Linked DNA regions of Coturnix japonica. The protein of the gene in region 3 interacts with the protein of the main gene of each other region in a biochemical or structural test. Links are inferred from orthologs where the notes say so. Each region holds a gene or a part of one and is shown on either strand. Other genes may lie near its edges. The genes, in order: PDHB, PDK2 and DLAT.

Region 1 (4,382 bases), on a different chromosome or scaffold from region 3:
AACTTCTCCTTATTTTCTCTGCTTCTTTTGGTTAATATTTCAGCCTTCACCTCAGGCAAGAGAGCAAAACACCAACAGTGGCCACTCAGCATTCTCGCTCCTTTATGCCTAATTGCTTCACTATGAATTCCAAGCTCTGAAAGTTTCTTTCCCACACCTGAGGAACAATACAACATCTCAGTTTGGGACTGGGTTCTGAAGCTCCATCTGCCAGATGCTTGAAAATCCCACATCACCATTTGACCCTCCTCATGCAGGAGTCCAAGGACTGCAACTGCACCTGCCCTGCTCCTGCTGGCACCACACAGTCACTCTGCACAGTGTCAGTAGTTGGTTTTACCCACGTATCTTGTTCCATGGCACCAGCAGGCAGCTGTGTGCATGGGGAAACATCTCCCAGCAGTGCTGGATGAAGGCAGGTGTCAGGAGCACATCCTGCACAGCCAACAGTGCTGACACAGGGACCAAGCAGCAGGATGGTGACAAGAATCGTCCCTTCAAACCCAGGCCCACAGGAGGAGTCGGGAACAGCCGCTTTCCATCCCAGAGGAACGCACGGAAGGAAATCTCCCCCTGAGATCGCAATGATTCAGCAAAGGATGCTGGACACGACTGCACCGCTCCACCCGCTGCCCCCAAGTGCCCATCGCCTGGATACCGCTCCCGGCCCCAGCCCGGCCCTCCTGCAGCGAGGGGCAGCCCCTGTTCGAACTGAGGGCCGGGTACAGCCTCACAACATCCCAAACGGGGCCCGGCAGCCCCCAGCCCCAGGTACCCGCAGTCCCACAGGGGGCCCAGCCCCGTTTCCCCCCCCCCAGTGCAGCCTCCGGCCGCTCACAGCCCCGTGTTTCCCTCCCACCCCCCACAGCAGCACAGCACAGCACAGCACAGCATAGCACAGCACAGCACAGCACAGCACAGCACAGCACAGCACAGCATAGCATAGCATAGCATAGCACAGCCCGGCCCGGCCCGGCCCGGCCCCGCCCCTCCTCACACTCACAGTCGCAGGTCCCGGCGCTGAAGCAGAGCCCGGCGATGATGGGGGCGACTGAACCGGGAGCGAAGCAGCCGCCGAGGAGGGAGGAGCGGGGGCGGGTTCTGCCGCGATCCCCTCCCCGTGTCTCCGCCCGCTCCGCTCGGGTGAGGGAGGGAAGCCGCCTCCTTTCACCTCAGGGCCGACAGTGGGGACACCTCGCTCCGCCCCACGCCTCCTTGGCGGGCAGTTGTGTCACTGAAGAGGGGCACACAGATGAAGGGGGGCGGTGGGGGCGGTGCGGTCCCGGCGGCAGGAGGCGATGCCGCGTTGATCGCGCCCCGAGCGGCGCCATGCGAGCAGCACCGAGCGCGGCACGGCCTCACCGCCACCACAGCGCGAGACCGGAAGTGACGCATAAAAAGAGCGCTGGCTGCCAGCGCCAGTTCTCGCGAGAGTTCAGGCAGGGGCCGAGGTAGCGCGGGGGCCGGGCCGTTGCCCGGTGCTATAGAGGACACGGCCAAGATGGCGGCGGCGGCGGGAGCGCTGCGGCTGCTGGTGCCGCGAGGCCGCCTTCTCTCGCCACGCAGAGGCTTCCACCTCTCCGCGCCCGCCGCCATCCAGGTACGGGCCGTGAGGATGGAGCTGGGGCGGGGGGTTCATCCGTACGGGCGGGGTGGTGCGGGTGAGCCGAGGGACGGCCGCCCTGCCCTGCCCAGCACTGCCCGGCTGCCGCTTCCCGCAGGTGACGGTGCGGGACGCGCTGAACCAGGCGCTGGACGAGGAGCTGGAGCGGGATGAGCGTGTGTTCATGCTGGGCGAGGAGGTGGCACAGTACGACGGTGCCTACAAGGTGAGGGAGGGGGGGCCCTGCCGGGGCCGCAGTGCGGGCTGTGCGGGGGCTGACACCGCTCCGATCCTTTCAGATCTCCAGGGGGCTGTGGAAGAAATACGGGGACAAGAGGATCATCGACACCCCCATCTCCGAGGTACGGCGCGGGGCTCCCCCCACAGGGCTCCCCGTGGGCCGAGCTGTGGCGCTTAATGCTGTTTGCTCCTCTTCCAGATGGGCTTCGCAGGAATCGCCGTTGGTGCCGCAATGGTCAGTACGCCCTCAGTCCTAATGAACTGATGTACAAAACGAGCTGCTTTGGTGTTAAAACATATCGTATGGTCTAACTCTGATAGGCGGGGTTGAGGCCGGTGTGTGAATTCATGACGTTCAACTTCTCCATGCAAGCAATCGACCAGGTTATCAACTCTGCTGCCAAGACGTGCTACATGTCTGCAGGAACCATCGCCGTCCCCATCGTGTTCCGTGGCCCCAACGGGGCTTCAGCTGGCGTTGCCGCACAGCACTCGCAGTGCTTCGCTGCCTGGTACGGGCACTGCCCGGGGCTGAAGGTTGTCAGTCCTTGGAGCTCAGAAGATGCCAAGGGGCTGCTGAAGGCATCGATCCGGGACGATAATCCAGGTGAGCACAGTCAGATGACGGCAGTATTTAACTCTCATTTCTGAATGCTTCTTTTCCTCTCCCACCTCATGTAAAAAGATAAAAAGTTTATTCAGCACTTAAGCATTTTGTGCTGTTCTAACCTGCTTGCAGGTACTCATCTAGAAGCTTTGAAAGACACATTTATGAACTCATTGTAAAGGCATTATAAAGGATGAAGATGAGTCAGGAGAAGTACCTGCAGATACAGTACAGTGTAACTCATTTTTTAGAGTTGATGAAGCTTAGATGATAAATTCAGAATCTCATTAAGCAAAATCAGGGCAACCTTCATCTTTCTTTCTCACAAGCACACGTGCAAAATGTAAGGCTTTTTCTGAAGCTAGCAGTTCTACAGAAACATTTCTTAGCCACAGCCTTTGCAGTTTTCCCTTGATCTACCTTTAGAGATGAACTGAAGACAGTATTTAAACTAACTGCGTAGTGAAGTTGATTGACTTTTAATTGTTTGTATTGGTCTTGCAAATATTCTTCTGCGGTACCGTTAATGATAAGTACAGCCTGTTCCTGCAGAGGTATGAATTAATCCAAGTATGTTTTGTTCTAGTTGTGGTGCTGGAAAGTGAATTGCTGTACGGCGTTCCCTTTGAGATGTCAGAACAGGCACAGTCAAAGGACTTTGTTATTCCAATTGGAAAGGCCAAAATAGAAAGGGAAGGTAAGCTGAGAACACAGTGTATGTACCTGTATGTATCCTTACTAACCAAGCTGCCTGGGGACTCTTAGCTGTTCAAAATACTGCTATCATGGGGCACAGGAACACATTTAAATTGTTAAATACTCAAATATGATTTATCCTGTATTGTACTCAATTGTTTGTTCTCAGTTTCTCACTTAAAACTGTACCTCCCTAGAAGGTTTCTTTCTCAGCCTAAGGATGGTGTTGGTGATGTGCAGGGAAGTTCTCACCTTACTATGTCATTTTTGTCCAAAATGCAGAAGATATCATTGTAATTTTTCAGCCTGTTTATAATTTACCAATGAATAGCATGAAAGCGTAAAAAAAAAAATAATCCGAAAAGTATTGAAAACATTATTTAGATCCCTGAATCAAAAGATTATCCTCACATAGTCCTGCTGCCATTCTTCACAGGTATAGAAATACTTAACATTTCATGTAGATGTAAGGAACTTAAATTTGCATGAGAATACTGATGCTACCTACAAAAGAGCCCAAGAAAAATGCTTTTTTGTGTGTGTGGTGGGTTTTTTTTTTTCTGCATTTGTTTCTTCTTTAAAACTTGTTTCTGTTCCAGGAACTCATGTTACATTAGTGGCGCACTCTAGGCCTGTTGGGCACTGTTTGGAAGCAGCTTCTATCCTGGCCAAAGAAGGTGTTGAGTGTGAGGTGTGTGGGGTTTCTGTTGCTTTTCTCTGTACAAGGAAAAAGGCAGAGGGTCACCTTGTTCAGGCTCTGTAGAACATCACTTTATAAACTCCAAGCTTTTGTAAGTGCCTTAACTGCCAGAGTATGTGCATTTCTTGTTTCTGCGTTTGACCTTTTCATCACAAAATCAAGTCAGAACTACCAGAGACTTTCAGATTGATCTGCCTGTACAATGAGCAGAACAATGACAGTATGTAGCAGCATGATTATATACAGTGAGACTCATTAAGCATTTTCCATGCTTGATGAGCCACCAAAAGCCATTCTGAAGCATCTGTCAGGATAAGAAGTAATTTCATTAAGTCTTCTTGTCAAAGTCAGAATAGATTGAAGTGCTAAAGGACACAGTGCCCAAACAGCAGTAAAGGTCACGATCAGATCACAGCAAAACTCACTCAGTGCCTTTTTTTAAGGTTATAAATCTGCGCACCATTAGACCAATGGATATTGAAACAGTGGAAGCCAGCGTTGCAAAGACAAACCATCTTGTAACTGTAGAGGGAGGC
Region 2 (4,213 bases), on a different chromosome or scaffold from region 3:
AAGGGTGGGGGGTAGGGATATGTACAGGGGATGGATATGGGGTAAGATATAGGGATGGGGCATGGGTAGGGGACACATAGGGGTTGGGGGGGGTGGACATCTAAGGGGGTATGGACACCTGGGGGGGGGCACATGGGGGTTGGGGGAAGGGGGGGGTGCAGCAGGATGCTTGGGAGTAATAGGGACCATTGGGGTAGGGGGATTATGGGGTCAGGAAATAGGGGGTGTCCAGGTGGGGGCACTCAGGTCATAATGGCTTGTGGGGGGGGGGGGCATTGGGGGAAACAAGAGATGCTACCCAGAGCAGGACTGGGCCATCCAGAACCAATGGGGACAGCAAGGGTGGGAATGGGATGCTCAGGACCATTGGGGGATTATAGGGATACACGGGGGATGCCCAGTGCTGGTGGGGGTGACACCGGGGGGGGGACACACAATATAGGGGGGGGGGCACACAGGGATGCTCACTGTGCTGGTTGATGAGCATGCGGATGGAGATACGGCTCAGGTAGAAGCGGTCGAGGAAGTATTGGATGTTCTGGTTGGACACCGGGTCGTCCCCATAAGCATCTTTGTACTCAATGACACCCTGTGCCATGGTGGGCACCACGTCGTTGTGACGGTTACGGATGGTGACCAAAGCGTTGGTGAACCTGGAGGGGGGGGGGGGTGATATGAAGCATAGGGCAGCCAGTGTGGGTGGCTGGGTTGGGATCTGGGCTGGGTTATCCTATAGGAGAGAATCCAGAGTGGGGTTGTGGTGATGCTATGGGGGTTTGGGGGGGGTCACAACGCTGGCACCCCACACTCACTGCCCCAATGTGGCCTGGTCCTCAGGGTCCTTATCCAGGAACTCCATGATGTCCAGCAGGCTCTGCACGTACCTGGGGGAGGAGATGGTCACCCCACAGCCCCAGCAATGTGCCCACCCCCCCATACATAAGCATTGATAGAAGGGCACTGCCAGGCCCTGCTGTCCCCCCATGCCCCCCCCCATTACACTGGCAGTGCTGGCACAGACCTGAGGACACAAACAACTCGTCACATGGCAGCTGGGAGTGGGGCCAGGATGCCAGCACCGACCTTAAAGGAACACCCCCCCCCCCAACCACACAGCCCCCCCAGCCATAGGGGACAGCAGGGACAGGACAATGGGGCAGCACCCTTTGGTTGAGGACCCCCCTGCACGTCCCCATGCAGCCATTGTCAGCCCAGGGTAAGAGATGGGTGCTGCTCTATGGGATTCCTATGTCCTGTCCCTGGGTCAACCCCCCCCACCAGCACCCCATGGACCTGCTGGGGGGGGGGCAGCAGTGACAGAAGTCACAGTGGGATCAATGTAGGCCCAGGGGGGCACCAGGCAGGTGGTGGCAATAGGATTGGACCCCATCAGGGACAGCAATGGGATCCATGGGGGCACCTGGTGACAGGGGTGGGACCCATAGGGGCGTTTAGTAAGTGACAATGGTCGGACCCCTATAGGGGACAGCACTGTGACCTATGGGGGCACACAGTAGGTGGTAGCAATGGGACTGGATCCCTATAGGGGGCAGCACTGTGACCCATGGGAGCACATAGGTGGTAGCAATGGGACCGGATCCCTATAGGGGACAGCACTGTGACCTATGGGAGCACACAGCAGGTGGTGGTAATAGGATCAGACCCCTATAGGGGACAGCAGTGGGACCTATGGGGGCACACAGGTGGTAGCAATGGGATCGGACCCCTATAGGGGACAGCACTGTGACCCATGGGGGCACATAGGTGGTAGCAATGGGACCGGACCCCTATAGGGGACAGCACTGTGACCCATGGGGGCACACAGTAGGTGGTGGCAATGGGATTGGACCCCTATAAGGGACATTAGCGGGACCTATGGGGGCACATAGGTGGTAGCAATGAGACCGGACCCCTATAGGGGACAGGGGGGTGATGTCCCCATACTCACCAGCTCTGCACCAGCTGCACGGACGGGGTGTGCAGCACTCGGTCGGGCAGCAGGTTGATCTCCTTCATGATGTTGGAGAGGCGAACGGGCAGCTCCTGCCGCAGGAAGGCAAAGGAGGTCTTCTCACAGGCATTGCTGGAGCCTGGGGGGGGGATATGGGGGTCAGAGCCAGCCATGAAACAGGCTGAACCCCCCCCACTGTCCCTTATAGTACAGGGAGCACTGAGGGCTTGGGGATGGGGGGGGGGGTAGGAGGGGACCAGCACAGCCCAGTACAGCCCAGTATAACCAGTGTGCCCCTGATTATAGGGGATGGGAACGATGGGTGCCATCAGAGTGGGGTTCAACCCATGGGGGGGCGACATAGACCCCAAGGAATGGGGACCTGGGGGGGGGGGCGATCATAGACCCCAAGAACGGGGACTGGGGGGGGGACAAATTAGACCCAGGGAAGGGACCTGGGAGGGGCATATGGCATAGAAGAGGGTTGGACCCCCTGCCTGCAGCCATAGCAATACGGGTATATATATGGACAGCCACTGCGAGGGGGGGTCCAACATGGGACCCCCCCTACTGGTTGGGGGGGGGGGCGTGTCCATTTTCCGAGTGGGGGGGGGGGCCGTTTAAATGCGGTCCACCCCACCCCGGAGCAGCTGTTTACAGGGCAGAGGGGACAGGACAGACGGACCGGACATACATAACGGACATATGACATCGGCGACTCTTACTGGGGGGGGGGTCGTGGGCAGAGCTTGGGGGTCTTCACTCGACCGAAATCCAGGAACTGCTTCATGAAAGCGCGATGGCGAGAACTACTGAAGTGCTCGATGTATCGTGTGGCACCCGGTCCCCACGGGCCGCCCGAGCTTCCCCAGGCACCTCAGCAGTCCCCTTCATGGCCGCCCCAGCCCCCCCCCGCGACCCCTCGTCGCCCCGATCGCCCGCTTGCTCCCCTCAAAGCCCACGGCGTCCCCGTCGGGCCGCATAACAACGGCCCTGATCAGTCACCGCCCTTCCGGACCATCAGCGTCCGTTCTGCCGTCGGACCCGCCCCTATATTAGACACGCCCCCCGACGTTTAACCCCGCCCCTTTTTATTAACCCCTTCGTGCCCGGAAGCCCAGCGCTCATTAACCCCTTCGGCCTGGCGACTCCCATCGCCTTTTTCCCGACTGTATAAGCCGCCCGGTCCGCGCACACACCGCATGATTCCCCTCCACTCCACGGGGCGCTCTCTCTTGTTATCACATGCCAACTGCAGCATCCTTCTCCCTTCAGGGATCACCCCCCCGGTACCATCACCCCCCCCCCCCCCCCCTTTGGGCACCCCTTGCCCTTCCCACCCCTCCTTTTTTACCCCCTACTCCCCCTATTCCATCCATATAGCAAAACCAACGGGGCAGATGAGAGGTTAGAAATCCCAGAGCGAGGCTTTATTAGCCCAGCAGAGGCGTGAGCATGGCCGAAGGGGGGGCGGGGGGCTCATAGACACCTCCCCCCCCCCTCAAACCCCAGTACCGACCCCACTCTGGGGCTTGACACGAGAACGCACAGAGACATGGAATAATTTAACCCCCAGAGCTGTGAGGGATGGGGGAGGGGGGGGGGTGAAGCCCCCAAGCCCCCCCCATAGTGGCTGCAGCTGCTGAGGAGCGAAGGGGGGGGGGGGGCAAGCTTCCATTGTGCACCTATGTGCACCTACCCCCCCCCAGCAAGGGCTGAAGGTGCAGGATGAGGAGGGCAGGAGGAAGGCACGAGTAAAGCTGGGGGGGGGGCACCCCAAACCCAGAGCACAGACAAAGGTTGGGGGGCGCATCGAGGGGGGGGGGGGGTGGCAATGAGTGTGTCCCCATGTGCAACAGTGGCGGTGGACCACCATAGAAGGGGGGGGGGAGCGGCAGCACAGGAGCAGGAGGAAGGCACTCAGGAGGACACAACGGGGGGGGGGCAACACATGAGGACCCCTCCCCATTCCAAGCGTGCAAGAGGCACAAGGGGTGTGCAAGGAGCACAGGGATGGAGCAACGATGCTGCTGCTGTGCTTGTGCAAAGTCACCCCACAGCCCCATATCGGGGTGGGGGCTGGAGGGGGCGGTGCAGGGTTGGGGGGGGGGTGTCAGTAATACTTGTCCTGGCTGCTGCCAGCTCGTCCACCCAGTGTTTCTTGCGCTGGGGCCGGGGGGCGATAACGCTGCTCCTGCCGGATCCGAACGCGTGGTATTTGGGCATCACCCGGTAATAGCGGGTCCGCTGGAAGAAGTCACA
Region 3 (2,859 bases):
TTACATCACAAATCAAGACAAAAGCTGCAACTTTAAAATGCAAACTCCAGGAAGACCATGAAGAGCCAGGTTTTCCTTTGTTTCTCTGTAACCTAAGAGGTCTGTACAGAAGTACCTGGGGATTTGCAGCTATCAGAGCTGGCCTGCTGCAGGCTGCGAGCAGCAGTGTACTCACCACCAGCACTCTAAGCACACACATGAGGCATAGACCTGCAGGCTAACAAACCTATTCCAGAGTCATTTACTGTTCTTACTGCAGGGAGAAAGCCAAAGCTTTAGTGAGCCAGAACTTGAGCTGCTGCTGAGAAGTGCAGCAAGGAAGGTAGGAAGACTCAGGCTTGGTTCTGTGTGACTCAAGACTCAAGTTTGGTGCGACAGTCATTAAGCATGGGATAACCTGGGATATCTGTGATTACAGCTGAGGGTTATTAGGGTGAGTGTCACTGTTAGATGGAAAGGCTGAACAGCTCTGCTTTGCCACAGCGGTACAAACAGCCACACGTGACTCAACAGAAAAGCACTGCAACATGTTTTAGTAGTTGTCAATTCAAAACATTTAATAGAACGTAGGTTCACAAGAGCAGGTCTGGAACCCAGATATTTTAGAACATTAAAAAAGAACCCAAAAACATAATGCACTTTTTTTTTTGCTTAAGCCAGGCATGAAAACCAGCTAACACAGCAACCAGACATTAAATAGTTCCCACAAAAATATTTAATTTCCACAGTATTTTCTTTCAATATCTTTAGTGAGTTTTGTATCAGAACTTTACAGGGGACTGTACTTAATGCGATACACAGAACGACAGATCAGCTTCATCTGTTTTTGGTTTTTGGTTCAGTTTTTGGTTCACTTCTCCCCCCTGTTCAATTCTCCAGGTCACGCTGAAGTTACTACACAACCCTCCTTTTTACATGAATGTTTCCATGTGGAAAGTGGAATTTAAGCACATTCAGCACTGCACCCCTTTCAGGATACAATGACTGGGGTAACTGGACTCAAGTCCAACAAGCAATTCCAACATCTCACATACAATATATACACAGATAGCACATTCTGCTGCTCACTGAGGCTGGGACAACACAGACAGTTCAGGGAAGAACTGCAGTACAGTGACTAATGCAGAGCTTCCTATGTTAGAATGCCTGAAAAAGTTGTCAAATGTTTGTGTCACCACATGATTAACACCCAGGGGTGGGATTATGAGCATGTGCCATTTGCCTACATGGGTTCCAACACACAAAGTCTCTTGAAAATTCTGCAAAAGTTACTTCCATGGCATCATAGTCTGATACTAACTCAGCAAGAGGAAAAGCAATTAAAGAGTCTTCATATGAGAAGCACACGTAAGTGAAAGTCTACAACAAGACAGCACGTTCCCTGTGGTATCTGAGATATGATACCACAGGTATTGGTGTTCTTTCACCTTTAAAGTGCTCAGAAGGGATCCCAAAGCTGAGAAGTTCCAAACCAGTGCTAAATTCCAAAAGAGACTTGGAATGCTAACACTTGGCCTTTGAGAAATTATTCCCAGCGGCTTCAGTCCCTTTAGTGCATCTGCCATTGCCACCCCATCCCAGCAGGAGAACAGAATAAGGGAATTCAGCTCCTGTGTTTCAGTTACCATCTCATCTGAACTCCTGTGAAGAGATGTTTGCAATTCAAATTTCTGAGAACAGAGGTTGTGAAATCACCTGCTGTGCACCCCCACCTCATCCAACATAGTTTAGAAACAGATGGCAGCACACACACTGCCTGGATCATTTTGAAATCGGGGATGCTAAACTGTTTTGAAAGAGTTTGCAAGTTAACCAACTGTATAAACATACAGTACAGCTGTAATATTGCCTTGAATAGCATTTCTGCAAACCTTTTCTCTGTACAGACTGGTAAGAACGTTACCAGATAATATAATACATATTTAAAATTAAAAAAAAAAAAAAAAAAAGGAACTCTTTTAATAAGTCTGAATACTAAAGTCTAAATAGCTCGTTTAAAACAGAACAGTGTGATCCAGGAACATTTTGCTTTGCATGTTTCAATTATAGCAGCATGGTTACTGGCTTTTCAAGGAAATTCTTGAATTCAGCAAGCCACTGTGCTCCAACAGCTCCATCTACAACACGATGGTCACAGCTCAGTGTAACGGACATCATACTGGCCACATCAAATCTGGAAAAGAAAGGAAACAAAAAACATTCGCAGAATTCTCTACAAATTGCTGCCAAAGGTGGTAACGCTAACAAAGCCAAACTGCTTTTGTCAGAGAACTGGCAACGACAACAGAGCTTGGAGACAGATTCTGTCTCCCTGTAGGCACTGGACAAAACGTTCACACTGGAAAGCAGACCGTAATAACTCCTTTTCTACAAGGGAAAAACACAACCGTGTTTATAGCTGTTATTTCAGAGTTTGAATCCAGAAGCAGAATGCAGAACCAGAGGAATTCTGGTTACTTACCCTTTCTCATTGTCAGCTGGCACCAGCCTTTGCTCTGAGGAACCAACTGCAAGGATGCAGGCTTGAGGCGGATTGATTATGGCAGAGAAATTCTTAATCCCATACATTCCTAAATTGGAAATTGTGAAAGTACCACCCTACAGGAAGACATTCACAGAAAAGTCAGAAGAGGTGTTTCACGCAGAATGACTGAAATATCACAAGACAGGCTTTGCTCATTCTGAACATGGACAGAAGCCAATGGCAGCAGTAATAGCAAATGTAGTTCCTCACCTGGAATTCATGTGGCTGAAGTTTACCTTCTCGGGCTTTCGCTGCCAAAGAGACCACGTCCTTACTGATAGAAGCCAGGCCCTTTATATGTGCATTATACACAATAGGAGTTATAAGCCCTGCAG

Evidence for each region.
Region 1: the proteins of DLAT (region 3) and PDHB form a complex in vitro, tested with the Homo sapiens proteins (2 studies listed by BioGRID and IntAct, with this or other methods). The link is inferred for Coturnix japonica from reciprocal best matches to the Homo sapiens genes DLAT and PDHB.
Region 2: the proteins of DLAT (region 3) and PDK2 form a complex in vitro, tested with the Homo sapiens proteins (2 studies listed by BioGRID). The link is inferred for Coturnix japonica from reciprocal best matches to the Homo sapiens genes DLAT and PDK2.

Annotation. Positions count from the first base shown.
Region 1 is NC_029527.1:9,335,619-9,340,000, reverse strand, and holds the start of PDHB (pyruvate dehydrogenase E1 component subunit beta, mitochondrial), read left to right. Parts: upstream 1-1,437; 5' UTR 1,438-1,501; coding exon 1,502-1,600; intron 1,601-1,721; coding exon 1,722-1,829; intron 1,830-1,902; coding exon 1,903-1,965; intron 1,966-2,042; coding exon 2,043-2,078; intron 2,079-2,164; coding exon 2,165-2,450; intron 2,451-3,036; coding exon 3,037-3,147; intron 3,148-3,745; coding exon 3,746-3,837; intron 3,838-4,289; coding exon 4,290-4,382. UniProt on the Homo sapiens protein: The pyruvate dehydrogenase complex catalyzes the overall conversion of pyruvate to acetyl-CoA and CO(2), and thereby links the glycolytic pathway to the tricarboxylic cycle.
Region 2 is NC_029542.1:2,597,561-2,601,773, forward strand, and holds the start of PDK2 (pyruvate dehydrogenase kinase, isozyme 2), read right to left. Parts: upstream 2,827-4,213; 5' UTR 2,742-2,826; coding exon 2,720-2,741; intron 2,091-2,719; coding exon 1,949-2,090; intron 885-1,948; coding exon 813-884; intron 654-812; coding exon 469-653; intron 1-468. UniProt on the Homo sapiens protein: Kinase that plays a key role in the regulation of glucose and fatty acid metabolism and homeostasis via phosphorylation of the pyruvate dehydrogenase subunits PDHA1 and PDHA2.
Region 3 is NC_029539.1:5,396,038-5,398,896, forward strand, and holds the end of DLAT (dihydrolipoyllysine-residue acetyltransferase component of pyruvate dehydrogenase complex, mitochondrial), read right to left. Parts: coding exon 2,735-2,859; intron 2,599-2,734; coding exon 2,462-2,598; intron 2,174-2,461; coding exon 2,044-2,173; 3' UTR 531-2,043; downstream 1-530.